Drosophila melanogaster: one gene and its partners. The protein of the gene in region 2 interacts with the protein of the main gene of each other region in a pairwise test. Each region holds a gene or a part of one and is shown on either strand. Other genes may lie near its edges.

Evidence for each region.
Region 1: the proteins of Ref1 (region 2) and CG31441 interact in a two-hybrid assay, tested with the Drosophila melanogaster proteins (one large-scale study listed by BioGRID).
Region 3: the proteins of Ref1 (region 2) and Or45a interact in a two-hybrid assay, tested with the Drosophila melanogaster proteins (one large-scale study listed by BioGRID).

Annotation. Positions count from the first base shown.
Region 1 is NT_033777.3:11,232,149-11,242,201, reverse strand, and holds CG31441 (uncharacterized protein), read right to left. Parts: upstream 5,917-10,053; 5' UTR 5,846-5,916; coding exon 5,714-5,845; coding exon of another isoform or gene 5,710-5,713; intron 5,653-5,709; coding exon 4,862-5,652; intron 4,803-4,861; coding exon 4,700-4,802; 3' UTR 4,578-4,699; downstream 1-4,577. Other genes in the region: scpr-A (SCP-containing protein A), read right to left, coding at 147-821, 887-1,006; scpr-B (SCP-containing protein B), read left to right, coding at 1,223-1,336, 1,390-2,064; CG31388 (uncharacterized protein), read right to left, coding at 2,165-2,306, 2,575-2,691, 2,769-3,091, 3,161-3,245, 3,593-4,149, 4,217-4,333; CG17721 (uncharacterized protein), read right to left, coding at 6,286-6,601, 6,660-6,793; Arfip (arfaptin), read left to right, coding at 7,472-7,694, 7,758-8,280, 8,632-8,800, 8,878-8,985, 9,076-9,120; Dph3 (diphthamide biosynthesis 3), read right to left, coding at 9,784-9,861, 9,934-10,008.
Region 2 is NT_033777.3:7,074,972-7,082,186, reverse strand, and holds Ref1 (RNA and export factor binding protein 1), read left to right. Parts: upstream 1-1,799; 5' UTR 1,800-1,977; coding exon 1,978-2,223; intron 2,224-2,731; coding exon 2,732-2,933; intron 2,934-3,167; coding exon 3,168-3,365; intron 3,366-3,779; coding exon 3,780-3,934; 3' UTR 3,935-4,283; downstream 4,284-7,215. Other genes in the region: CG1943 (uncharacterized protein), read right to left, coding at 4,912-5,268.
Region 3 is NT_033778.4:9,340,560-9,352,742, forward strand, and holds Or45a (odorant receptor 45a), read left to right. Parts: upstream 1-4,789; 5' UTR 4,790-4,862; coding exon 4,863-5,945; intron 5,946-5,999; coding exon 6,000-6,053; 3' UTR 6,054-8,304; downstream 8,305-12,183. UniProt on the Drosophila melanogaster protein: Odorant receptor which mediates acceptance or avoidance behavior, depending on its substrates. The odorant receptor repertoire encodes a large collection of odor stimuli that vary widely in identity, intensity, and duration.

The DNA of each region.
Region 1 (10,053 bases), 4.2 Mb from region 2:
AACCACCCATACGTTTTTTTTACTATCCGGGCCAACATTTTTAAACCCATCCTAAAACTATAAAATCAACGGCCGAGATTTCAAATGATAAGCTCTTTTAGCTTTTATTTGCCAACTTAATTATGGACTAAGAATCGAAAAAGCATTTACATCGTCTGTGTGTTCTCGATGACCTTCTCGTTGTCGTAGATCTCCTTGGCGTAGCACAGATTGGGGTAATCGTAGGCAGCTCCATATCGGTTCTTGCAGCCGGTGGTTGCCTTCTCTCCCGGAGTGTAGACAGGCTGACCCACAATGTTCGATGTGGCGAAGTTGCAGGTGAGTACGAAGTGGTTGTAAAAGTCCCGGGAGAAGCGCACCGCGGCACATCCCACATGTGTGTTCTTCTCGGCCACCGCGATGGTGAACTTGGTCACCGCTTTGTTGGGAAGCTCCTCCGGGAAGCTGGCGAGGATCTCGGGAGATGCATTCGAGCGCTCAGCAAACCAGTTCTCGATCTCCTCCTTTATTATTTCCGCATCGGTGTACTCCGTCTCGGCTCCGCTGTACTGGAACAAGGCGTTGTTCTGGCCGGCGTAGGCGAATCTCTCGGTGCTGCGGCACTTATCCGGCAGGGACTCACAGGTCTTTACGTTCAGCAAGGCCAGATGGGAGAGCTCCTCGCACCAGGACATCTTGGCCATGCGAACAGCCTTGGGTAGTCCTTCTATTTTGCCTCCAGCCACATTGTTGCGCAGCTCGTTGAAGAGATTGAGGATGAGTTTGTGATGCGGCTCGATCTTCACCTCACGCACGTCCTTGGGACAATTTTCACTGAAGTTCTGGATGGGGATTTAGGACATTACCAATACGAACTCCTGTGAATTTGGTTTACATAAGAACTTACTCCCTTGTTGTTACAGGCCACATGCTTGTCCAGACAGGTGGGGAGAGCACAATAGTCGACGGCAGAGGAAATGGCAACCACAGCTAGGAGAATCAATTGGAGAACCTTGGTGAACGCCATGATGCTAGTTCTTGGCTACTGGATTGGACAGCAGATGGGTCTGCTTTTATATGGCATTCGAACTGAGCTCAGCCACTTGTTCCTGGCCAGACATTCTTGGAAACTCAGCTGCGAAAATACTGGAAAACATGTTGCAACTGCGGTTCGATTGCCACAGCTATCCTATAAATAGGGTACTTTGGGTAGCTAAGCCTCAGTCCAAAACCAACGCTGAAGATGGCCATTAAGTGTCTGATTTTGCTTACTTCCCTGCTGGGAATAAGCCTTGCAGCGGACTATTGTGCTCTGCCCACGTGCCTGGACAAGCACATAGCCTGCAACAACAAGGGAGTAAGTAGTGATAGCTGGCCAAAACCTGCTGGTGCTCACCCATTCTCGCCCAGAATTTCAGTGAAAATTGTCCCAAGGACGTGCGTGAGGTGAAGATCGAGCCGCATCACAAACTCATCCTCAATCTCTTCAACGAGCTGCGCAACAACGTGGCTGGAGGCAAAATAGAAGGACTACCCAAGGCTGTTCGCATGGCCAAGATGTCCTGGTGCGAGGAGCTCTCCCATCTGGCCTTGCTGAACGTAAAGACCTGTGAGTCCCTGCCAGATAAATGTCGCAGCACCGAGAGATTCGCCTACGCCGGCCAGAACAACGCCTTGTTCCAGTACAGCGGAGCCGAGACAGAGTACACCGATGCGGAAATAATAAAGGAGCAGATCGAGAACTGGTTTGCTGAGCGCTCGAATGCATCTCCCGAGATCCTCGCCAGCTTCCCGGAGGAGCTTCCCAACAAGGCGGTGACCAAGTTCACCATCGCGGTGGCCGAGAAGAACACCCATGTGGGATGTGCGGCCGTGCGCTTCTCCCGGGACTTTTACAACCACTTCGTACTCACCTGCAACTTCGCCACATCGAACATTGTGGGTCAGCCTGTCTACACTCCGGGAGAGAAGGCAACCACCGGCTGCAAGAACCGATATGGAGCTGCCTACGACTACCCCAATCTGTGCTACGCCAAGGAGATCTACGACAACGAGAAGGTCATCGAGAACACACAGACGATGTAGGTGATAGTAGATGCTGGGATCTTAAACATGAACGCGGAACGGAAGCTTTATTAATATCAATTCGGTATATATAATTAACATGCAACTGGCAATAATGAATTCAATTCGTTGAACAATTTCTTCCACGGGAATTGGGGGATGCAGCAGCTTTAGCACGCGCCTCCAGAGTTTTGTGGGCATTGGACTTCAGATGGGATCTGTAGTGTTTGGCTGTCTTGAAGCTTATGCGGCAGATTTCGCAGCTGGAAGAGATTGGGGGTGAAAAAAATGTTTTACTCATTAGCATGAGGCTTCAAAAAAGTAATTTGATTACATTGAACTGCAGCATATCATATTCAACAGAGTACTGCTGATATTTTATAGGAATATATAGGCACACAATCGTTTTTTGCATATAAAACAAAAAATACGTTTGACATGCAAGATAGATTCGTTATTTAGTTGCGAATAATGGAAATCCTTCTAATTTGCATTCTCTGCAAATACTTAAGAACTGGGAGGAAGTCGTACCCGTGATCGCGAGTCAAGTTGTGATACTTTTGATGTGTCCTGCACTCGCTGGGTGTTACATACGACTTGGGGCAGTACTCGCACTGGTAGATACGCTTGCTGGCGTCCATGTGAACCCTGCGGAATATATTGGAAGGGTCACGTAAGTGGGGATGGTGGGCTAAGTGACGGTGGAGATTCGTCTGAAATTCTACCTTTCATGCATGCTGCGGGCGCTGCAAAAGCGAAAGGTTTTGCCACAGTTGTAGCGACAGATGTAGGGACGCTCGGTTGTGTGGGTTTTCTGATGGGAACAGAGTTCGGCGGCTGTATAAAAGGATGCGCTGCACTGGTCGCATTTGTGGCGTCGTGTGCCCGCGTGGCGAACCAGGTGATTCTTCAGATTAAAGGCCGTGGTCAGATGCTTGCCACATATGTGGCACACATGCTGGGACGCCGGCGGCCTGAGACACCGCTGTTTGTGAGTCTCCAGCAGAATGTGATTGTGGAATTGGCTCTTGCACTTGGTGCAGGAGTGCTGCAAAAAAAATGTTTCAAAATACAATCCTTTATGAAAGGTATTGAACATTTTAGATGGAATCATTACCGTCAATGGAAGATTAATCATGTTGCAGTGCCGCGTAAGTGCGGCTGCTGATCGGAAGCCCTCGTCACAGTGGTCACAGACGAATCTACAAGGATAATTAAAGTGTTAATTGTGGCAATTGATTGGTAGGTTCTCTCATACTGTGAATAAGTTGTTCTAGTCATTCAGTGATAGGGTTTAAAGGATTCCTTAATTCCAATCAGAGCAGCACGTATAAAATGGAAAATCGTTCTAAAATTAAATAAAAATTAAAACAAAAGACAATTAATACGGAATGAATGTGAGAGCTAGCTAATAGCCAATTTAGCAATGTAAACTAAACATATTTTGTGCCCTGACGGAACGTCTTCAGATCTTTTAGGATTTCTACAAGTTTCGAACGAATAATATGGGAAAATCATGCAAGCATGCCTCTAAAATATGATTATTTACTTGGTATCTGGCGGGATGTCGTGCAGATGGTATTTGTGCAGCTTCAGTTCGTCCACGTTTTCGAATTCGAGGCCACACTTGCTGCACGTGTGGCTGGAGGAAGTGTCCCGATTATCGATAGCTTCACTTTCGGGTTCTGATTCGGGAGAGAGGCCCATGTCAAAGTGCTCATTCGACAACTGGCTATCTGTTGAAAGTTCTGGAGAAGATTGCGGACTGGCCACTGACTGGTATGCATTCATATACTCTGTTGTTGTCGTGGTCTTTATGGAAGCCAACTCATCCGTATTCTTATCCTGTGGCTCGGGATCGAAGATAAAATCCATGCGATCATTCAGCTGTAGCACTGGCGACAAGTTGGACAACTCATCCGGACAATCATCCAGCCATTGCTCCGCCAGGCTCTCGAACGCCTCCTCCTCCTTTTCCACCTGCCTTAGCTGAAGTTCAAGGAGCTCCTGGGCCTCGATGCAAACGCGGCGGAAATCGATGGCAATCTGCAGGTCGTGCTGGCAGTCCTGGCACATGAACCTGGGCAACTTGCCGTCCTCTTTTAGCTGCAAAGTGATTACAGATCGCGGCATTTATTCGGTTTTTATTTTCGCAAAACGCTAACGCACTCACCTGCAAGTTAGTTAGAGTCTCTATTTGACGCAAAACGGAAGAACTCGATGGATCGAAGAGATTCTTGGCTACCGCAGGATCAGCCATACGAGAACAGGTCCTGCAAATGTACCTCATGGCTTGTGTAATGAGATAACGCAGCACCCCGATCGATTGGAAGTGTATCTTTTTCGGTTTGTTTGGACGGAAGAACAAGAAAAGCGGCATTCGCATTTCTCAGCCCCACGCATAGTCGATTTCGAATTGACATTCGCCCAGCAACGCGGCCATTCCGCCGATTTTCAAAATCTCAATTTGTTGTTACAAGTTTTTTTCAAGAAATAAACCATTGTATCTGCAGAGCGAAAAGTCGAAAACCTTTGATGTCACAGGTGTACATTTTGATTATTTCTTCTTTTAGAACCATCAAATCAAAAATAGAATCAATTTGTTCAATTTAGGAATCTTATAATAAACTTGTACTTTCAGCAGTCCACATGAATTCTAGACAATCCTAGCACTTTCAGCTCTTCGCTGGTGTAATTTAGTGCTTTGATGTAGGGTCAAATGGGATGAGCGCAGGAACCACTGGTCACAGATCTCGCAGCTGGAAAATACAGTCAGTTTGCACATATTTTACGGAGGACAGCTAGTGCTCCTACTTACTGGTACTTCCGCTGATTAGTGTGCAGCATCTCATGTTTTTGACGCGTCGACGTGGAGGTGAAGGCCTTGTCGCAATGCTGGCACTGAAAGGGACGCTCGTTGGTGTGGGTCCGCTCGTGGACCACTTTACTGCTGCATCCTCGGTAGGTCTTGCTACAGAACCGACAAGCGTACGGTCTGGCGTCCGTGTGAAGGATTCTGTGGCGCCGCATCTCGTTATCCGTGTAGTACTTGGCCTGGCAGATGTCGCACGCGAACGGTTTGTGACCGCTGTGTCGCTGCAGGTGCAGTTTGAGGTAGGTAGAGGACTTGAAGACGCCGCCGCACTGGTCACAGAACCAGGACTTGGAGTTGCGCTTCGTACGCTTGGGGACACGGGCACTTACTCCCTTCGAGATGATGGACATGTTATGGAGCTGCTCTTGACAGTGCTCCACCTCCTCTGTTTGTACTTGTACTTGTTCCTCCTGATTCTTCTCATTCTGAGTCGCATCTTCTGCGTCCTTCGCCTTCTCATTATCATTGTGATCTTCCCGCAGAAGCCCAGCTGTATCTGCCATTGCTACACACATTTCCTGATCCGTGTGGTCCCACAAATCCTGCTGTAGCTTCTCAACATCCGGTTTATCGAGTTCCTCATCAACTATCGCCTTTTTTCGCAAAAGTTTCCTGTTAGCGGCCATAAAAGACTTGTGGACCTCCAAGCACTTATTGCGAAATGTTAAGATCCTGTCCAGCTGCACTTTGCAACATTGGCAAATTAGATGTGGCAGAGTGGTGTCAAATTCGAGCTAAACAATCATTTAAATCAATTAAATAGACAGCATACTTTAGTTTTATTCACTTACATACATACATATCGGTGATATTTTCCAGTATACTAATAAAGTGATAGTTGCTTTTGTTGAACAGTTTGGTAGCCCGACCCTGCAAATTGGTCACATTTTTGCCACAAGTTCGGCAAATCGATCGCAACTCAGACATTTTGAGCAAACCAAACGATATTTAAAAAGGTTTTTTAAAACTCAACATTATTGTGATGCATTACATTCAAGTGAATGGCAAGCGAGATAATGAAGATGCACATCAGCTGTTGTCTGTTTACTAAGTGCATGTGCGTGGTGTGTACACACTGGCTAAACGATATTTGAACAATTCAAAACAAAAATATAAAATTGTATTATTTTTTTTTTTTTTGAAAAAGCATAGACGCATCCAATACTTTTCTTTCATTTTAAACAACAATTTGGTTGAAATCGGCATCTTTTAAGAAATCTAACTTTTATTCGTTTCAGAACTAAAATCTTAATCAGACTTCTTTGCTCTCGACTTAATGTTATATATAAAATTCGTTGAGCCTTGCATTAAGTGCACGCTTATGCTGATATATGGCTTTGCCTGGCTGCATGATCACTAGGTGATACCTACTCCTTAATTCCCATTCTGCAGACCGGACAGTGGCGGCCACCATTAGCCTGGTACTGGTGGAGGCACTTCTCATGCAAGGCGTGGCTGCAGCGCAGATACACCATGGTGTAAACACTTAGGGGATCTAAACAAATCGTGCACAAGTCACCGGCTATATTGACATTAACCACCTTATCGCACTCGAGGCACTTTCTATGGGAATAGCGAAACACCAAGTAGCAGAGATTGTGCATGGCATGTCCACACCTCATGCGGCGCCGGTCGTCATCACTCAGTTCATACTGGCAAAAGGTGCACCTGCCATTCGGCGACCTGCAATGAAACAAGGGATTTAAGCCAACATTTTAGCTTTGAATCGCAAGGCACCAACCTGCCCACGATTCGACGCTCATTTAATAGCACCCACCTGGAGTAAGGCGAACTGCGGTCGTTATGCCAATTGAAATAGGCGAAAGCGGCAACGGACACCAGGCCCAAGCCTATTATTAGATTCACGTAGACCATTTTCCGCTGGCTATTGGCCTAAGTAACGTGGAAATAGAAATAAGTAGAGATTTTCCATGAAATCCCCAAAAATTAAATCAAATTTCCACTTTAGTGGGACCGCAACTGGTCGGCACTGAAAATCCAAATAGAATTGCTTGGCCACATCAACTGGCCTATTGATCATGATCAAGAATATATATGAAAATGAATTAAAAATTAATGCTGGTGCCGCAGAGGAGAGTCCTCGCAGCAGTCACTGTCCCGCCAAACCACGTCCCACCGACTTGACCTGCAGGACAGGACTTCCCCGTGTTCCAAACTCCACCGTTCCGCCTTTAAAATACCGTGTCGCACAGCCGGTATCCAAGCAGTCCAAGTGTGGCATTTAACCACCTACTCGCGCACAGTCACACCGATTTTCAGTTCGTGAACACAGTTTGATGAACTTTATGCGGAATTTTAGGGATTTGAGAATTTTGACGAGTCCAGGCAGGGGTTACTAAAGTCTCGACTCGCCCAGCGTGCGCCATCGATTTCGGCGTGGAAATCGAAGTGAAACCTCCAGCGCCGTTGCCCGAGAAACACACACACAGACACCTAATCGGGCACACCCCCACACAAAACGGGCAGACAGGAGGATTTTCCGCTGGCAATTACTCGGTGAGACGGGCGGTTAACTTAACGACGGCCATAGCTATGACGGACCGCGAGCGCAGCATTCACGAAATGCTGAAGGATGCGCCCTCGCTGAACGACAGCTGCGGAGCGGTGCACACGGGCACCGAAGGCGGCAGCGGGATCCTTGGAAGCGCCAGCAGCCACAGCATCGCCGGCGGAGGAGGTGGTGGCGGCAACGTTGGAGTTGGTGTCGGCGGCCCCTTTGGCGCCCCCAGCAGCCTGCCACTAAGAAACCATTCAGGTGAACTATTTACGAGTCCTCGATTTAGCGACCAACTGACTCAGCATCGATCTTTTCGTGCAGCACCCACCACACCCATGTCGCCCAGTAGTCCACCATCCGGTAACGGCATCCTGAGCCCCACGGACAGCGGGAGCGGCAGCATTATACGCACTAGCGCCTCCAAGATCGACAGTCTCAAGAACTGGAGTATATCGACGTACAAGTGTACGCGACAGATAATGCTGGAGAAGTTGGGCAAGTCGCAGCGGACCGTGGACTCGGAACTGGAGGCCCAGATAGAGCAGTTGCGCGAGACGCAGCGCAAGTATCTGTCCATCTTGAGGCTAACGCGGGCCTTTAGTTCGCACTTCCAGCACGTGGTCGTCACACAGCACGCCCTGGCCGACTCCTTCGCCGATCTGGCCCAGAAGAACCCCGAGCTGCAGAAAGAGTTCACGTGCAATTCGGAGACGCAGCGCAATCTCACCAAGAACGGCGAGCTGCTGCTTAATGCGCTCAACTTCTTTATTTCGTCGGTGAACACACTGTGCAACAAGACGATCGACGATACGCTGCTGACGATACGACAGTACGAAACGGCCAGGTAACCAAAGCTATATCCTTTCATTGTCGTGCAACAACGAAGGAAAAATCATCATCGATCTCTTCGATTTTAATTTAAACTCAGCATGTGTGTGGCTTTTTATAAAAAGTGTTGTGCCACACAGCTCTTATCAGAAATGCATTTTAAACTAGCCTTGTATACAAGCTTGAAACATTGCTTATCGTATTATTTCCTTGAAAAAATTTAAATACGTTGGATCAATTAGTCATAACCGCATTCCATGATAATCTCTACAATGGCAATAAGTTTTTATTTCCTAAAGCCATCGTATGTTTCATAAAAAGGCATGAGAATTATATGTAGTAGAAGTAATGTCCTCCTGCCTTTTAGAATCGAATTCGATGCCTACCGCATGGATTTGGAGAACACCAAGCCGGAGCTGACGCCCTCGGCCGTCGCTCTTGAGGAGACCCAGCGCAGCTATGCGCAGCACAAGGAGCAATATGAGAAGCTGCGCTCGGACGTGGCCGTCAAAATGCAATTTCTCGACGAGAATCGCGTAAGTGGTGCCAAATGGATCTTACCTATGCATTTAGCGAGACTAACCATTGATCCAATCCGTTTATCCGTCGATAGATTAAAGTGATGCACAAGCAATTGATTCTGCTGCACAATGCCATCGCTGCCTACTTCTCGGGCAATGCCATGGCACTGGAGAGCACTCTGAAGCAGTTCAACATAAAGGTGAGTGAGCATGGAAACATGGGAGCAGAGTGCTCCCATTAAACTTCGTTCGCACATTCACTTTTTCACTTCTCCTCTTGTGGCCCGCAGCTTAAGTCACCCAATGCCGTCACTGGATCCTGGCTGGAGCAGTAGATCGAGTAGACGCAGTTCGTCCCTTTCACTCGCGAAGCACTTAGGCGCGTATATTGGAGGAGATCGGGACACGTCGTCCACCTCCACTCATTTGCTGAACGAGCACGCTCTCTAAAAGAAAAAGGAAAAGATCGGTGGCAGAGATGATTCAGTATGCGATGCAGTGGACAGAAACACTGCATGGCGAACCATAACAATATTTTCGTGCTAAGTTTAAGTCGAATTCCTAAGCCGTAAGCAGAAAGTGAGAGTGGTAGGTGTATGTTATTTATATATTTTTCCAACCGCTTTCCATTGTATGTAACTCGCTGTACTACTCACATTTCCACAGCTGGTACGCTGACGTTCCTTTAACTTGTTTGTGTTTCCAAATTTTCGTTCGATTATCATCATATTGTTGTCCTCCGCGCTTGTAAAACATATATAACAAAGTGTACTCGGTGCAATATGAGTGTTTTAGTTTTAGATATTCTAGAATGTGTGTATAAATCCTTTGTAATTCACCCAAAACGAATAATCCATAACGAATCGAAACTGTTTTTGCGAGCTTGCATAATTTGAAATCATTGTTTTACTAGTCATCGTATTATTTACACTAAAATGAAGTCTATATATATATAAAAATATATAAATAAAAACTATTTAATTACACCAAACTGTGTGTTAGTTCTTCTCGAGCTTCAGGTCGCCGAGCTTCTCGTTCAGCGCACTTTCTTCATCCTCCTCAGCTTTGAACATCTCCTGAAATTCGGAAAATCAGATTGCTTGAGTTTTCTGGGGAGTTCTAGGTGTATTTCTGAATGAGTCACTTACCGGATCGTATATGACCTTGATGACTAGGGAGCAGCTGGGACAGGTGGCCACCTCCTCGCCCTCGATTAGCTCCTCCTAAAGTGGAAATTTACCAAGTGATATGGGGAGTCCAGAAAAAAA
Region 2 (7,215 bases):
TGTGACCAAGGGTCACGTTTGCGTTTAAATAATTATTTTTAAAATACTGAAACTCGCGGGCACTGTGGGCCACTTCTGCGTAACTGTTCCTAAAAAACAAAATAAAACGGTTATGGTTGTATTTATAATAAAAGCACAAGAGAATGCTATAGTCGAGTTCACAGATACCAGTTAGTGTAAATGCGAACACGAAATTTCAACATTTTTCTGGGAGGGATCTAATATCTAGGGGAATAAAATGAGCAAAAATTTTTCAATTGCGTCTTTAGGGCGTTAGAGCGGCGTGGTAAAAAGTTTTTCGGCAAATCGATAGAAATTTACAAGGCTAATAGAATTTTGAAAAAATTCGAAGAATTGTTCAAAAGTTTGAGCGTGGCGTTTTTTACGGCTTGAGAACGTAAGAGTGGGCGTGGCAACATGGTCTATGTCTCTAGAGGCTGTATGCTGAATCTGAACCTTCTCGCTTTTATAGTTCCTGAGATCTCCACGGACATGGCTAGATCGACTCGTCTATTGTTCCTAATCAAGAATATATATACTTTATATAGTCGGAAGCACTTCCTTCTAGTTGTTAGATACTTTTCAACGAATCTAGTATACCCTCTTACTCTACAAGTAACGGGTATAACTAGGCTGTATCCCAATCAAGAAATTTGTATTTCCATTTGAGATTTTCGGATTAGATTAAGATTAAGTTGTTTATAAGCTAAATGTTGAAAATTTTCTTCAAAATTAAAATTTAATTTTTTTTTTTTAATTTGAAATGCTACCAGCTCATCTAAAGAAGCCTCACAACTCCTGCAAGCAGAGCTACGCTGGTTTCTTCTTTGGAAAATTAATGTCAACGCCCTGAAATCTGCGCAAATAACTTTTGCATTAAGAAGAGATGACTGCCCACAAAGTAATTGCATAAAGTACCTTGGCTTGCACCTCGATCCCAGACTAACGTGAAAAAACACATAAAAGCAAAGCGCCAGCAACTAAATCTAAAAAGTTTGAAGATGACCTGGTTGCTGGTTGCCGAAAATCTGCAACCACTCTGGAAAATAAAGTCCGTTTATACAAAGCCATACTAAACTTATACCAGCAATTCAAATATTTAGATTCTACAACGCTACCAATCAAAAATATTAAGACAAATTGTTGATGCTCAATTTTTATTTCAAATGCAAGTATCCATAAAGACTTAGGAATCCCTTATGTTAAAGAAGAAATAGCAAAACATATTAAAAAATATATAGACAGACTAAGAACACATGAAAATAACTTAGCCTTAAGTTTGGTAAAACGTAATAACAACGTCAGAAGACTTAAAAGATTTTACGTGCTAGACCTCCCTGACAGGTTTTAAGTATTAAAACATGTTATGCCTAGAGTATGTAGTAGGGATTAATGGATAACTACTGCCTCTGTTAATATAAGATTAATTATAAAATGTACTTATTGTCATACTTTTTTAAGACAGATTGTAAATAAAAAGAGAGAAAAAAAAAACTTAGATGGGAGGTAATCATTCCAAATAATTTTCCAAGATCATAGTCATTTTAATCACAACATTTAATCACAACATTATTATAATCACATATTTATTATGGTTCTAAACATTTTCAAAAGTGGATATTTCCCATATTATTAGGATATTTCGTGAATATGAATTATAATAATTTTTAATGTTATGTTATATTTTATGTTTATATAATTTCCGTATTTACCCTATTTCGCCGTTTCATTTTCGTTGACAACTCGTTGTCGTCGTTATCTTGACGCACACCGTTATTCAACACTTTTTTCCTCTGAACCAATATGGCGATTGTGTAGATCTGTGTGCGTCGTTTTTGCAAAGTTTTGTGAAATTCCACGCGCTCCTCCTTAAAAAAAAAACGCTTTAAACACATTCTTCAGTAGCAAGCAGAGACCCAATCTTTCCCTTGACTTTAAACGATCTCCAAGTAGTCAATACAGCACGCAATAAGCAAGATGGTGGACAAAATTGAAATGAGCCTCGACGACATCATTAAGTCCACACGCTCGCAAAAAAAGCCGCAAGCCGCCCGCGGCGGACCAGGTGGCGCCCGAAAAACGGGCGGACAGCAGCGTTTTGCTGGTGGAGCCCGCCGCGGCGGAGCCAATGCCGGCGGCTCGCCCAGGAAGCCAGGAAGCGTGCTCAAGGGCCCGCGAGGAGGAGTGGCCGCCGGAGCCGTTCAGAAGGCCAAGTTCCCACGGGTAATTCATTGCGTTTCAATGGCCAAACGGAGCAGCCGGAGCAGACCATCCCCGTGCTCAGTTCACCAGGACAGAGCACTACCAAAGCAAGTGTCTTGCGGCCCATGATCCGCACAACAGTGCTTGGAAGCGAAAAACAGACTCAGAATCTAAACCAAAATCAAAATGGCCACCATGCGCCTTCCAACGGACGGAACAACTCTTCGAGCCCGAGCAGAGCCTCAAGTTCAAGTTCCTTTAACCCCGTTTTTACAGAATACCAAACAGACGACACCTGTGTCTTAACTTATTTTTCCTCACGTCTCACGCCTCACGTTTTCCACGTGAACCATACCCAGTTAACAAGCATTTCTAGTGTCTCCGCTCAATATGGCTGTCCTCTCTTGTGGCTAGGATACGATGCAACTGCTACTGCAACGGCTACTCCCGCCACATACATATAGTTGATACGCGCAGCGTTCGAAGACATACCCATCTACCTTCTACCTAATACTACCCCCACCTCTAGGGCGATGTGAACAGCGCTTGGAAGCACGATATGTACGACGGACCGAAGAGGGGTGCCGTCGGTGGAGGATCTGGACCCACCCGCCTCATCGTCGGTAACCTGGACTACGGCGTATCCAACACGGACATCAAGGAGCTCTTCAACGACTTTGGTCCGATAAAGAAGGCGGCAGTGCACTACGATCGCTCCGGTCGCTCGTTGGGTAAGTGCTAGTACTACTCCAGCTACCTGTCGTTAGGTGAAACATTTCGGTACATGCTGTTCATAAAATGGCGGCAGAATGGTTCAGTAACAGACATTCCAAGTAATATAAATCGGCTTGAATTGATAACAGATCAGATCATCCGATGAAGCTGCGGTTTTTATTTAGTATTTTGATTTATGCCGAAATTTAAAGCTATTGCCATGTATTTGATTTATTCACTTTTCTTTGCAGGCACCGCTGACGTGATTTTCGAACGTCGCGCCGACGCCTTGAAGGCCATTAAACAGTACCATGGCGTACCTTTGGACGGACGCCCTATGACCATTCAGCTGGCCGTCTCAGACGTGGCCGTGTTGACCCGTCCCGTAGCCGCCACCGATGTCAAGCGTCGCGTGGGTGGTACTGCACCAACTTCATTCAAGCGTGGTGGTGCGTATCCAAAATGCTACAGCAGGGACCGTGAATGATGCCCATTTTCGTTTATTTTTACCACAAACATCGTTCATTTAAAACTATTTCAGATCAATTTTGGATCTATCCCCATTCCCACAAAGATTTTTAAATGCCTATTTATTTCGATTACCTAGTATGTCTTAGGTTTCAAATTTTGTTACTTGACTTTTTATACGAAATACTTTCCTTTCTTTGTTATGTTTTCTTGTCAACAGCTTTTGTAATTATTCAAACTTTTGTTTCGATTTAATACGATGTTTGTTGGGTAAACTACGTTACTAGGTCAGTTCCACATATGAAAGCTTACCTTTCTATAATGACCATGATACGGTCCCATGACGATCCATCCTTGCTCCAATGCTTACACTATCATTCCGAACTGTTTTTTAGGTGGCCAAGCTGGTGGCACGGCGCGTCGCGGCTTCAAACGTCCGGTCGGTGGCAAGCCGGCGGCAGGCGGCCAGCGACGGGAGCGCAAGGCCCCGCCCACTGCTGAGGAGCTGGACGCCGAACTGGACTCATACATCAACGACATGAAGATCTAAATAGTGAATAGTCTGAATTAGTCTAACAAGAATAGAAGAGCAGCCCAATCTATAGTTTTAAGCCTACCATATGGACACCCCCCGCATGGTACATAAATGCAAACGCATCGACAACGCCGCGCCCAGGAGCAGATCTTTGAAAGCATCGGACATCAAATCAATCAACCACTTGCGCATTTATCCATTAATTGTTAGTTTTGCCAATGCGGCGGATGTTAAGATAACTGAAATACATTTGATGCTGTATTTATTGTATTTAGAAATGCGCTTTATCAAGTTCGACGATAAATTGATGGACCTTGTCAAATTAAACTGAATTGTAATAAATACTAGAATTAATTTCGTGACCAAATCGAATTGTATTTACTGACTCAATAGGCTAGGAGTATTGTTTAATTACTAGGCGGCGGCGGACTCCGAAGAATCTCCATCAACTTGCAAAAATAAAAGAGCCATCACTTACAATTAAATGTTTTATTTGGAGTAATACATCGATGGTTATATTGGTATTCGTTTGGACGAATTTTACAGACTATAAGAAGATTCGATTGGACACTTTAAGTACAAATGCTAAATTAGGCTTAGTAGGTGGTAGATTTTAGCAAAGTCAATCCATATCATCCGTATTTGTGGGGCGGAATCACGAGTTACTTAATTTCAACAATTTCGTTAGACATTTTAAACCTGTTACTTAGACAATAGAACAAATGTGGGACATGAAAATGAAAGGGCGAAAGGAAGAACGACTTGGAGTGCTGCTTGGCAAAATATAATCAGTTTCCCTTCTTCTTCGGCTGATCAGCAGGTTAATATAGGTAATGCGCCTCTAAATATAGGTGTATACGTATGTTATAAGCGAGTTATGTATATTTATAGTTTTATGATTCTTATGTCGGTCTGAGGATGTGATGGTGAGTCATTAAATGCTTGGCAGCTGCTTCTGCTCCCGGGCACACTTCCTTCCCTCCTTCCTCCCTCTACCAGAATCCGCCCGACGAGAATCCGCCGGGTGGAACTCGGCCGCGTGCCTCTCCATTTGTGGCCGCTGGTTTGTTCGCCGGCTCCTTGGGCTGGCTGGGTGGGGCGGACTTGGCCTCCTCCTTCTGGATGGAGACCTCTTCGCGAATTTTCTCCACCACCTTGTTGGGATCCGTGGAGCCCATGCAGGCATTGAGGTTTGAGGAGTTCTGTTGGTTGTACTTGGCACGCGGGGCGGGAACGGCCACGTCGGGCTCCGAGAAGATATTGGTGTGTCCGCCGCCTGGGGGCTTCAGCACTCGGCTGGAGGGACGGGCACTGGTGGTCAGGCCGATTTTCAGCTCGGTGGATGTCATTTTGTCGCTGCTGGTTGTGGTTTCAGTGACTGCAATGCATAACAATGAAAAGTGAATCAGATGCGGTCGGAAATACGAGTACCCTAGACTACAAATTCAGTCACGCCACTTGCGGATGTGACGCCCGGCACAATGACGCCCGTCATCCGACATCACCCCACCACTGGCAAATCTTGGCGAAGTGGAGTGAAAACGAGAGACCCATTTGTTCTGCCCTTCTGCCACCTTATCGACGGTTTCTCTACACACATATGTATGTATGTATGTATATAGAAACTCATCTATTTTTCTTGCTGCGCTGCCCTCAACTTTTTAACTTTGCCGTTAACTGTAATTGCGCGTTTTGTGGCTGTCGCACTTTCGTTGTTGTTTTTGCCATTGTTCATTTCTCCGTTTTTGTGTTAGGCGTTCGCACAGTGGGCTCAAAAAGTGCGTTTGGGCATTGACCATTGACTACAGTTCAAACAATAAAGTCCTTTGGTGATATAAAGTGCCAATAGTCAGAGTGGTCAATTAAGAAACTAATTAAGTTAATAGAAAGTGGGTTATATGTATATATGAAAATAATATGCTTTACATATCATCTATAAAACACACTTCCTCGCATCCAAGATGCAAATGACAAATATTAGTTTCGTAATGATTTTTTGCCTCGCTTATGGCGGAAAAGAGGTCGCCTCCCAGGCGATGACATCTGAGGCAAGTGCGGTGAAGAAGCATTTGTAATGATGCGTCATCCGCTGGGGGAGGCACATTCCGCCCAACTCCCGCCTGGGGTGTATCCCATTTGGGGTGGCTGTTGGCGACAACAACAAACACAGGCCACACACACTGGCAATTTTGTTGGGGTACGGGAAAACAAAGCAATGTGAATGACCGCACCGAGTCAAAGATCTCTAGATTAGAAGGCTCACAAGCGATTTCGATTCCCACAGTTGAACGCTTTCCACCTGGGCAAAAAACACTACCAACGTACTGCACAGAACAAAATACGGTCGCATCTAAATTTATTATGATGAATCGAATGGATATCTAAAATTTTATTTACATAACTAAAACAACACCAAAGAGAGAGAGATAGATATAAGGCGTAACAATGAAAACAAATTAGCTGGCAAAAAATGACATCGTACAAGCATTTTCTCTCAGTGCAGAAAGGCAATAACAGAGACTGATTGCCGTGTTCCCTTTCCACTGTACTTGTTGTTTTTGCTTCCCTAGGGCGATTGCCGGCTCTCACACACACACATCTGCATGCATACGAGAATCACATTAACTGTGCTTTCTACTTGTATTGGTGCTGAAATTATGAGTAATGAGCAATCTGGTTAAAACTCGAAATTTCGGCCTGCTGCCATCGCCGCGACTTGTTGACCAAGTGAATGTTTATGGCCAAAACACATTAGACAAATCCAGTTTCGGCAGACCTACTTAAAACGTATCATCGATTAGACTAAAAACGGCGATGCACACGGAAACTGGCCGACCAGAAAGCGAAGTAAACAACAGCCACTTCAAGAGCAGGCTACTGAGATTCGGTTCAAACTGCTTTCGGTTAGTTTTTCGTACCTAGGTGCATGCAATAATCGCCTGACTAAAGCGAAGCACTCAGAACCCGAACAATATGGCCGCCCAAAAGGAGCGGCAGCCGGAGATTGCCCCGTCGTGGGCCATAGCCCAAAAGACCGAGCCACAAACCGGGAATCTTCCACTTCCACAGAGGATGTGTTATTTATAATGCATATGGCAGCTGTGCTAAATAAAATTCAAAAGCAGCTGCACTCACACAAACGCACGCACACACAGACAGCGCTTGCGCTCGGTGTACGAAATTCCATGACACAAGTGAAAAGTGTTGGTCTGCGAAAATATTGATTTATCTCGCAAACCCGCTGTCAACCAACTATCTGTGGGCCCAGCATGTCGACACCCAAGTCACGCTTACCT
Region 3 (12,183 bases), on a different chromosome or scaffold from region 2:
AGGCAGATGAGTGGCCATATGAATGTGGGCGTAAGAGTGTGCACCGCCCGTTGGAAAAGTGCTGGCCAAGTCAAAGGCAAAAGTCAGAGACATCTGACACTTCACATGCTCGGATGAGGGCGCCTTATTGGCCTCAAGTTGTGACTAAGCTGATGTTGCTGATCCCAGAGATGAGTTCCAGAGGCTTAAGGGCCCAGCAAATTTTCAATACACCCACAGTACCATCGAAGAACGGTTTATACAAGTTAGCAGTTATGCAGCATATCCTTCAAGGCAATAACACTTGCGCTCTTGCAAAGCTCACTTAGAGGTGCATTTCATACCACTTTTAAGCAAAGGATTTAATGGAAAAAGATTTTCAAATAATCTAGCATTATCTTCAATTGTCAAACCACTTGCATCGACCGCTTCATCGTCTATTTCCACCACGTTGCAAGCAAACCAAACATTATTCATGATCTGGTTGCTTTTGAGCGTTGGTCGTGCTTTTCTGCAGTTTGGCGCTCGTTTATCATTCATGTTTCTGCATTGAGACTTTGTTCCTCGACTCTGTTTGCTCAGCAAATGTTGTGGTGGAGTTCCAGCGGGCTTTGAGTGGGAGGCTCCACGGGAGGCCAGCTGGGAGGCGTCACCGTGGCTCGAACTCAGCTCAACTGAAGCGTTTTAATTGCTGCATAAATATTAGCTTAAAATTAGCTCATTGTGCACTGGATAGCGTTCAGCTCAAGTTGAGATTCAAACTCTATCGCGGGCCTGTATGCCTGTATAGATATCCGAGTTTCGGTTTCTGTGTGTGTGTGTGTGTGTGTGTGTCTTGCTACAGTCAATTACCACATATTTGTCTATAATTAATAAGCTCTTCCCATGGGGCCCCAGATTTGTCCCGCTGCAGCTAAGGCTTTAAGCAAACAGCAATCACTTCTAGCGAATCTTCAGTCGTCTGCGAAGTTTCCCTTATTCAATTTGGTAGTTTGTGCTGGAGTTCCCTCTTTCAGAACTTCTGACGCAACTCTTGCAGTTGAACAACTCTCGCAGTACGTTCGATTTTCGTTCGTTTATTTATTTATGCCATTTGCTGCACAATCCTCTCAATTTTCCCCTCCGCAGGTAATAGCTTTGTGTTTGCCCTTGTCTATTTTTTTTACGTTCAAATTAATTTGAGCTGCACGAAAAGAGTGCATAGTTGTTCATGTATGCATCATGATGGCATAGGAGGGGTAATGCCAGTTCACGTGCAAAATGTAACATTCGAAACCACTTTAAAAACCGAAAACCACGAAAATTGCATGGTTGCCCCCCGGAATTTGTGGAAATTTTCCAGTATTAGGCACAAGTACCCTAATACTGGGTACACACACATTATAAATTTGTAGTCCAACTAAAAATGAGTATTCACTCATCATTCACATCCTGGAAAATTCACATAGATATCTCGAGTTGGGTCTACAAACATTCTTTGACTTGTTAGACTCCTGTAAATGCATGAATACAGCAATGATTATGCAAATCTTTAAGAACGTATCACTTTAAGGACCTTCACACGCTACTTTGGGTGTCTTTTTTCGAAATGCACTGCATCTGCTTGGAATGCAACATTGACACTCCCCTTCATCCGCCGCCCACTTGGGCTTGTCAATCAAGACGATACTCTTCCTTCGTTAGGGGAGCTTTCTTCGACACTTTGTGAGATGTTCGTGCTGCAAGGACACGCTAAACGTATGCAAATCATTATGTTAATCGGGTACCATCAAATTTTTTGGCGTCATTCATCACACTGAGCCACACTTTGCACTTGGTAATAGCAGCTTCTCACTCGCCCGCTCCATTATCCCCTTCTCTCCAGCAGCTTTCAGCCCCTCCTTTCGTAGTAGTAGCCCATTCCCAAACCCTTTCCAACATCCTTCTGGACCACTGCTTGCTTTGCTCTTGCTGCTGCTTAACGCCCGCGTGGCTAAGCCAAAATTTACACAGGCACAGCGAGTTTGGTCGTCAAGGATGCTTGGTTATGCTGAAATTTGCACTTTTCCGACACACACACACACATGCAGTGAAAGGCACACACACACACACAAGGATATACACACATGTACTAGCAGCAGCATAAGTAAACAAGTTTAGTATAATCAACGGTTGGCTGCCTGCCGGGCTATACAAAAAAGTGTTGCACATCGGCTTACAAAATCCACACCCGCAACGAAGCCAACCTGCTCCCCCCACCCCCCCCCCCTCTTCCCTTCATGAGCATGTAGATGACGTAGTATATGTTTTTATTAGCATGCTTTGTATGCCCTGTACGCTGTCAGGCTCACGAGCAAGTCGGGGCTGGGCTGCATTTATCAGCGGAATGGGGGCAGGGGTTTTGGGCAGGATTCACCTGTCTCACGGCGCTCGTAAAACCACATTACCTGTGATTTCCGAACACAGGATGGCTTGTTCATCAGCGTTGCAGTCGAGCACGGGCACGAGGACGTAGCGATTGGGAACGGGATATCTGCCGGTGGCCCTTTGGCGCCATTGTGCCACGTTCATTGAATGTTTTTCTATTAATTTTTTATTGAATGATGCTTTTGCCCCACCACACAGCATACTTCCACGCAGGTTGGGAGTGGCTCATTCCCTGCGGCGGCATGCTAACTTTATTCAATTCCTTCGCTGCTCATGTGGAACACACACTCGATGTACCTCTCAACCTGTCCCTCTCTAACTGCATCCAGCGCTCCCTTTCTATCTTAGTTACATTCTCTATTTTCAGCCGGACAAGAGAAAGCTGTGTAATGTGGCTGAAAAATTGCTAGTACTCAGGATGCAACCTAGTCGAAGGAATGGCCATTAAGTACACTCGAGGCACAGATACCCTTGAATTGGATTAGGATTTAGGATTTAAACATGCAAATTCTAATAATACAAGCCATAAATTTAAATAAAATACCAAATTGTTCACTTTTCTCAAAGTTTATTAAGTCACAAACTTGTTAACTTTTCTGTGGTGGCTTGTGTTCAAATAAAACATCATATGATTAACAGCAAAGGGATCAAAGACTCGTATTAAATAAAATGTTTTCCCTATGGTATCTTTGGTAATCTCTTTGGTATCTCCCAGCTCCGTACACTCTATCTGTACCCCTAAACTCCCGCTGATAGGGCAACAAATGATCAACATGATGTGAAACATTTTGCTAGTTCCTTAAACTGAACAAAAGAAGACGAGTTGGGGGGCAAGTGGGGTCTGGCAAGCAAGAGTTCGGCAAGCTGGTTAAGCCTGGCATGCCACTCCATTTGGAAGACGGTTTTTTTTTACGGTTCGCCACAAGCTCATAAAAAACCTCCAAAATGGGTGACACACAAAGGAGTCGCACATGCACACACACAGCCACACCTTCACTTACATGAAGGCAATGAAATAAACAAAGCCGCAAAAGACACGAAAACCTCAGTGGAGCGAGAGAGATGGGCACATGGTGTGCGAAAGAGAGGGAGAGATGTTTCAGGAGAAAGAGACAGATGGTAAGCAAATTGCTGAGGAGTCCAAAAGCCGGACCGACGTCAAAATTATCGAGCAGCAGGTGTGCTCTTCTCCGTTTTCCCCATTTTTCTTTTTTTTCTCTTTCTCACTCTCATTGTGCCTCTCTCTTTCGCACATACTGACCCTCTCTTTCGCACACAGCCACTGGCATTATTGCTTTTGTGGCTTTTCGGTAAATATTTTGCATAAAATATCAATTTGATATGCAAACGGGCGAATATGTGAAAACGTGCGACTGCAATGACTACTCAGACTCTATGAAATTTAAATAAAAATCTGCAAGTGTAAATTTAATTAATTACTGAACATGTTTTTCAAACATAACTCTTTGTATTCACAATTGGCCGGAGGCCAACATATGTACATAGCTCGCTCTAAATAACGTTGCATAACTTTTGTAGCCGCAACTTTGAACAAGTCAGCTACGAATATCCTTCGGAAAAATGCAAATGATGGTTATTAAAATTCCAGGAAAAGGTCTTTATTTGGCACACCCACTCTAGATTAATTGAGAGCAGTTAAGGTGACATTAAGCCGAACCCAAAGGCAAAGAACCCAAAATGCAAATCGGGGGGAAAAAACGCTTGGAGATAATGTGGCCTGGCAAATGGCTATTTCACTCGATTTCGTCTAGTCCCGGCGATAAATTTCGAAAGCAGATTTACTTGTTGATTTCCCACGTAATTGAATTACTCGCGAATAAAGTGCGGACCAAATGGGTCCCGACATTTTCCTCCCAGAGGGCAAACAAATTGGGAAAAAAAAGGATTTTTGGGGCCAGCCCAAAAATTAATTTCATTTTGGTGTATTTACAGGGAATTTTTACGCTAACTTTTTGGTACAAAATACACAAATTTAAAAGGAATTTAAAAGGAAAAATGCTTTGCTCTAGCCCAAATGTCAAGGCTACAGAAAAAATTATATCTATCACAACTTGTTCATAATCATAACCCTTGCGGTCTTGTATAAGAACATGCCATTGTCCAGTCAGGCATTTAAATGTTAAAGTGAAAATAAATAGATAGATAACCAAATAGAATGTAAACAAATAGGTAAACAACGTGTCGCACCACTTCCACTTGTGTTGGGTATTTATTTGTTAATACGATATTTACGCCCCCCTAAATGGAAATGGGAAAATTTCCAATCAAAACAGCACAGCCAGTGTGGTAGTGGTAACCGTGTCACGTAGCCTGTTAACGGATGAAATAAATATTTCAGGCACAATTTCAGGGGCGGCAACGGCATCCACTTAGCTTTCTTTTTTTTCTTTTTTTTTTTGCCCCCAGTGGCTGCTATAAAAGTTGGTGCAACAACGAAATCCGGTTGAAAGACCAACATGGACGCCAGCTACTTTGCCGTCCAGAGAAGAGCTCTGGAAATAGTTGGATTCGATCCCAGTACTCCGCAACTGAGTCTGAAACATCCCATCTGGGCCGGGATTCTCATCCTGTCCTTGATCTCTCACAACTGGCCCATGGTAGTCTATGCCCTGCAGGATCTCTCCGACTTGACCCGTCTGACGGACAACTTTGCGGTGTTTATGCAAGGATCACAGAGCACCTTCAAGTTCCTGGTCATGATGGCGAAACGAAGGCGCATTGGATCGTTGATTCACCGTTTGCATAAGCTAAACCAGGCGGCCAGTGCCACGCCCAATCACCTGGAGAAGATCGAGAGGGAAAACCAACTGGATAGGTATGTCGCCAGGTCCTTTAGAAATGCCGCCTACGGAGTGATTTGTGCCTCGGCCATAGCGCCCATGTTGCTTGGCCTGTGGGGATATGTGGAGACGGGTGTATTTACCCCGACCACACCCATGGAGTTCAACTTCTGGCTGGACGAGCGAAAGCCTCACTTTTATTGGCCCATCTACGTTTGGGGCGTACTGGGCGTGGCAGCTGCCGCCTGGTTGGCCATTGCAACGGACACCCTGTTCTCCTGGCTGACTCACAATGTGGTGATTCAGTTCCAACTACTGGAGCTTGTTCTCGAAGAGAAGGATCTGAATGGCGGAGACTCTCGCCTGACCGGGTTTGTTAGTCGTCATCGTATAGCTCTGGATTTGGCCAAGGAACTAAGTTCGATTTTCGGGGAGATCGTCTTTGTGAAATACATGCTCAGTTACCTGCAACTCTGCATGTTGGCCTTTCGCTTCAGCCGCAGTGGCTGGAGTGCCCAGGTGCCATTTAGAGCCACCTTCCTAGTGGCCATCATCATCCAACTGAGTTCGTATTGCTATGGAGGCGAGTATATAAAGCAGCAAAGTTTGGCCATCGCACAAGCCGTTTATGGTCAAATCAATTGGCCAGAAATGACGCCAAAGAAAAGAAGACTCTGGCAAATGGTGATCATGAGGGCGCAGCGACCGGCTAAGATTTTTGGATTCATGTTCGTTGTGGACTTGCCACTGCTGCTTTGGGTGGGTTTTTAGTAATGGATTATTAAGGCATACTTAAGATATTATATCTTGCAGGTCATCAGAACTGCGGGCTCATTTCTGGCCATGCTTAGGACTTTCGAGCGTTAGCCCATCAAATCGAAGCTTGAGAATAGTTACCTCTTAATGAACAAAAATGATTATAATTTCTTAATCAATCAATAATCTTTAATAGTCGAGTACATTTATTTGGAAATATTCATGGGCAAGCGATCCAAACATCCACAACCCAACTCCAATCAGTTGCCATTTGGACGAGCATGTTTTTGACGGGCTCAGCTGCCCCGAAGGGATCTCATGCCCCAGGTTGATGCCACTGCAGGCAGATGGAGGAGCATATGAAATTCATGAGGGCATTCCACAAAGGCAGCTAGCGAAGCCAGCTCATGCGTGTGGCCATGATGTCAGTCGTGTGTGCATATGGGTACTCGTATGTATTGTATGTATATAGATGTATACACCAGGTAGTCGGAATTTGTTAGTATGAAAGTACGAAAGTATGCAACATCAGCAGCATCGTTCAGGTGGGGAACAAGTTGCTGAAAAATAGCTACTCAAACTATGTGCACCATGCTGCTTGCCAGCCAATGGCCTCGGGCTCCTTTTTCGACTCAGCCCGGGTCTTGAGCTAGTTTCGGGGCTTCGGGATCAGGATCAGGTGGAATGCGGACCTAAGAACCCTGCCCTTATCCTTCGTGCCTTGCGGAATGTTGCCTGCTACGGAATTTCTGGCTTGATGTTGCCGAGATTCGAATTCAGTCGGAGGCTAAGTCGCTTGAACGGAATTTGTTTTATTAAATTTTACAACTCGGTATTTTGCACATGCAAAATGGACTCAGTATTTCGGACTCCGTGCACCACCGTTTTACCAAAAAGCTGTGACAAATTGTGCGGGCGTGGAAGCCAGGCACCTCGGATTATGTTACAAATTACGACAGCGCTATTGCGGGCATAATTAATTTTTGTCTCTGACATTTGATTTATTGGTCTGCGTTGGTCAGCATCTTTGGCTTGACTTCGAAAAAACAAATGAGCAGCGATTAATAAGCGCGAATCGCTCCTGGCCATTACGCACCTGCGGCACAAACAGCCAACAAAATTCGAGCATCAACCTGCCACAGCTAGCTGGGTTTGCTGGGCGGTATAACTTTACAGCAAATTGTGGCCAAGATAAGAGCGGATGGCCAAGAGCCACAAGCTGAAAATAGTGGTGAAAAAAATCACCATTTTATGTGTATTAAAAATGTGAACAAAAACGAACAGGAGCGAGCACAGATTTTGTTTGCGGTTCGTTGAGCACACAATAATTCCATCAGCATCAGTGGCAGTAGGAAAAGTGGGCGTGGCAGGCGTGTGTGGGCGGTGGGGTAGAGATAAAAGTGCTGGCAGCACTTTCGCTGCATTGCTTTTTTTGTTTTTTTGCAGTTGTTGCGGTGTATTGTGTGGGCAGTGCCACGAGGCGAATGGTTAATAATCGAACAAAAAGGTCCTTAAAGCTGTCGCGCAGTGAGCAAACGTTTATGCAAAGTAAATTGATATGCAAACTGCAAATTTCAATGGCAATTCAAACTTAAATGTCCTAATGCAGTTTTATCTTTGTAAAACAAAATGGTGGCCAGCTGGTAGTTTCCCGCAAGCATTACCCCAGGGCTTATGGTTTGCATTTAACCAACAAAAAATCTAACCTAAAGTTTTACAACAAAATTGATTTTTCAATTTCAAAATGAATTGCCTGAAATGAAGAAAACAAAAACTATCAGTATTTTAATGCGAAAATTGAAATGCCAAGCTTAAATCAAGTTCGCAATGCGGAAAAGTGGCCAAACACTTATTCAATTCACCCGAAGTGGAAATTCAAATTTTCGAACACAAATGCTAATTCAAATTAAATGGAAAAACCCAGCCGTTTTCACGGTAATTCCACCTCTTTGGCCACCGGAAAATAGGAAGCACAAAAAATGTCCCACTTTAATCGGGCTTGTGTTTGCCAAAGCTATATTTTCATCTGTATATATGTACAATATAAATGTATAACATATATTTTTCGGTTAAGCATACAAGGCGGCTGTGCAGGGCCTTGATGAAACTTTTCTAATTAAAATTGTGCGGCTTGTTGAAAGGTTTTTCCAACGGCGAGGGGCCGGCGAAGGGCGGGCGCGGAGATAGCCAGTTTTAATAGAAATTACATTAATTAATATTTAAAATATGCTTAAATACACATTCCTATGCATTAATTAATACGGGCTGGCGGCACACATACAGCGAGTAAACAATGAAACGTGACTGGAACTAACAACGAATTGCGCCATAAGCCAAACGTTGGCAGGCAGGCACTCCAACTCCAGGACTAAACGGAGATTTGACTAATTACAGCACGCCCCCTAATTTCTTGTTTATTTGGTTAAATTTAATTTCAAATGCCACAAATGCGACAATCGAGCTGAGCCATGGGGCAAACAGTAGCGGTGATTACAATGTTTTATTGACTGTTTTTACCCACATAATTGCCACAGATTTGGACATTGTCCAAATCGACTTGTTTTCCCCTCGAGACGAGACGAGTCTCCCCACTTCCGAAATCGCTTCTCCCAGTCGCTATTTTCGTCTCCTCAGCTCAGTTTGGAAACTTTGATTTACGCCACCCGTTCCTAACCCACTTTTATGGGACTTTGTGTGACCCATTTGAACATTTGGCTTGCAGCGGCTCCCTTGCGAGGATGTGGATGGGAATGTGGATGCCACATGCATGACAAGCACTTATGCAAATTATATGGCGCACTTATGTGCGGGCAGAGGATTCGACTTTATTTGTCGGAATTTCGATGGGATTTTCAGCAGCAAAATTAAAATAAAACATAAATGTATAACAAACTTTCACTAAGTGCAAGCGGGTTCAAGCGAATAATGGTCATAATTTTTTTGCGAGATAAAATATTAATACTGAACTCGACCAGAAATAGTGAATTCTAAAATGATTCCATATATGTCATATAGAAACATATTAGGCTAATTAGTTGTTAAAATTATACGTCGAATGAATCATTCAGAACCATTATTCGGTTTTTTTTTGTTCTGGACATTGATTCACACGACTATATGTTTTCCTTTTTAAATGTAATTCATACTTTTAAGCTAAACAAATAAATAGACGCCCAAAGTTGCAAGAAAAAAAAAAAAAAATAATTTAAAAATTTAACAAACACATAAATATTTGCAAGCACACAGGAAAACGATTGGTTAAACACAAATTTTTCACATGTTTGGAACCAGAACATTCTGGGCAGAAATCAATCAACATATTTGCACTCTTTCGAAAGAACGTTCTGCACTTAAAAGCATATCAAAATTGAAATTTCAGTAGGAGCAGAGCGCGAATGGTAATTAAAAACCGAAAATGTTTTTCGCCTTCTTCCTGGAATGTCATTAAATAATCAGCATGGCGGCTATCATTATCCGTCATTCGCAACCAAATACAATAATTAATGATGCCACAGAGCCCGCCCAAATTGCAATTACCTTATGCATAATTAAATTATAATTCATTAGACATGAGCCCTTGCTGTCTAAATCACAGCACTTAAATATTACCAATGCGAAAAACCATCTCGATACGTAATCAAATGAGACTAAATCAATAGGCTTAAAATGGGTCTTTAGCCCCTACAACATTTTTTAAGCACTTTATAACGAGCAAATTTTTCTAAAGGGGGTCTTGACTCGACTCATTTGGGTAAATCAACTCGATGGCAACTCGATGCTGAGATGCACAGATAAAAATGGTATTGTGATTATACAACATTTAGACGGGTAGTTAAGGGGCGAAGCTGGATGATATGGAAATTGCAAATGCCATTGTTTGTGCCGAAGTGGGACTGTGAATGTGAAATTGTTTAGAGGCGACGCGCGACAAGAAAATCGCAGAGCAATGGGCGGGGGAAATGTTTGAAAAATGACTTTTCTTCGGCACTGAGAATCCGCTCGGCAATGAGTCTGCCATTTTCTTGTTGCAATGTCGCATGAGCTGGTGATTTCTTTTGTGTACATATATTGTGTGTATTGCTTATTGGGTGTGGATTTGAAAATGTGTACTTTATAATGCGAATTCAATTATTTTGGCAAAATCGGTTTTGTTTTTCTTGTGTACATTACAATTTTGGGATCCACTCCGGCCTTTGGGTTCGCCTTCGTCGACCTCATTTTCCTTTCTTCGTTCGTAGGGCTCGTCCTTTTTCCCAGCCGTCTTACAGGATATTTTCAATTTTTGCGGCAGGATATTGCCGTTGCTTTATTTGCCGTGTGCGCTTACTGTTTTAATTATCTTGCCTGATTTGATTTTCCATTCTTTTTTAATTAATTTCGTTTGAGCATAGTTTATTTATTTATGCGTTTTATGGGCGATTTTCAGCATTCGATTTCCACGCGCTTGTTGGTTTTTGCTTGTTTTTTCTTTGCTGGCGAAACCTTTTTAATCATTTGTTTTACAAAAATGTTTGCGGCTGTTTTTTCCCGTTGGTGTTTTCGGTTGTAATGATATTTGTTTTTTTTATTTATATTTGTTTTATTCGGTTGTATTTTTTTATTTACTAATAAAATGCATGTAAGTCAGTCCGTCGTTTCAACATTTTTGTGTCTTGTATATTTTGTTTGTTTGCTGCAATAAAACCATGAGCACTTAAGTTCGAAACTCGATACTGGACCATCGACTATTTTGGCAGCCAGCCGAGGGCAAGCAATCGAAAACCAATTATCGTGCGAAAGTGGCAGCCAGCCGTGAATGTTGCTCATGTTGCAACAACTGGGGGGAACAACAAGTGCATGTTGCACTTGCTGAGGACAGCCGCACCCACCAAGCTGCCACGCCTATTTCGCCACGACAATCCGCTAACCATTTGCACTTGGCCGCCACCGTTTCACGCACTTGCTGCTCGAGAGTACACACACTAAACTGGTGGCTTAAGTCGGGGGATTCTAAATATATATATATTTAACGATTGAACTTTCGAATATTTTCTCGAATACTTTCTAAATGTTCTTCAGCCCGATTTCGAAACGTTCCAAGTCCCAGGCGTGCACAGCGCTCGGCGCTCAAAGGAAAAGACAACTTGATCACAGCATGGAAAATGTTCAACTGACCGAGTGGCTAGCCTGTAGACCAGCAGAGAAGCTGCGGCTTTATCAGTTCGTGGCTCGCATCGCTCGGCCATCGGACCGTTCGGCAAGCTCGTCCTTCGGCTCGGCACGCAGGACTCGCGTCGCAGCTTCGTGACTCGTGCGGCGTGCGTCGTGCCACGAGGTTCGTTGTTCGGGCCGTGTTCGCGGTCGTGTCCTGGGCTCGGGAAGCAACATGTTGGAGCCGCAGCATCCTTGCTGCTCCTGGCCCTCGAAAATCTCAATTTCGAGCGCAACTCACTCGTCCTGTGGCGTCACGTGTTGCTTTTGCTGGCATTGAGACTTGGAGCTTCGAGTGAAAGCTGCGTTTGTTTTGCTCGCCTACGCCCAACGAGTGGGTCTCCCGCTCCACTACGCCGCGCCGCACCGCGGATTCCCAAGGAAGCTTCCGTCCCGATGACGATGATGAGGTGCGTCCTCGTTCCCGAACATTGGATATCCTTCGCAGCGGAAATTATATATGACGAGATATGTATTACTTTGCCATCGAACAAAGGGAATGCGCTTCGCTTCGCATTGCTTTGCTTTTCTACAGCCGCTTGCTCAGCTTTGCATTTGCTGATTGGGGACGGCTGCGTTTTTTGGCACTGTAAAATCCCAAATAAGAAGACTTTACTCGTTGAGTTTTTGTAAGAAACTTGATTTTATTTGGAAATATCTTCGGTTTAAATAGGTGACATGAGAATCGCATCTTAAAGTAAATGGCCTACGCAGAGGCCTACGTAAATAGTCCCCGCCTTATCGAGGTCCCACGCTCGGGCACATCTGCCTATCTTGAGCGGCGAGGACCTTATCTGTGGTCTCCCACTAAGGGACTATTTTAGGAGGCGGGGAACGATCTCAAGTGACTGACTCATGTAGTGTGCACTTAAATTACATGTTTTTGAGCAATGCACCCATGTCGCCTTAGATAACAAAATCCTAAATATAATTTATCGCTCTCGATTCATTTACATAAGATATGAACGGAGCCCAAAATTGTAAGTCTTTAAATATATTCGTGTTCATGTGTGAACATTCTGCCAAAGGGCCAGCAAAGCTGAGATGTACA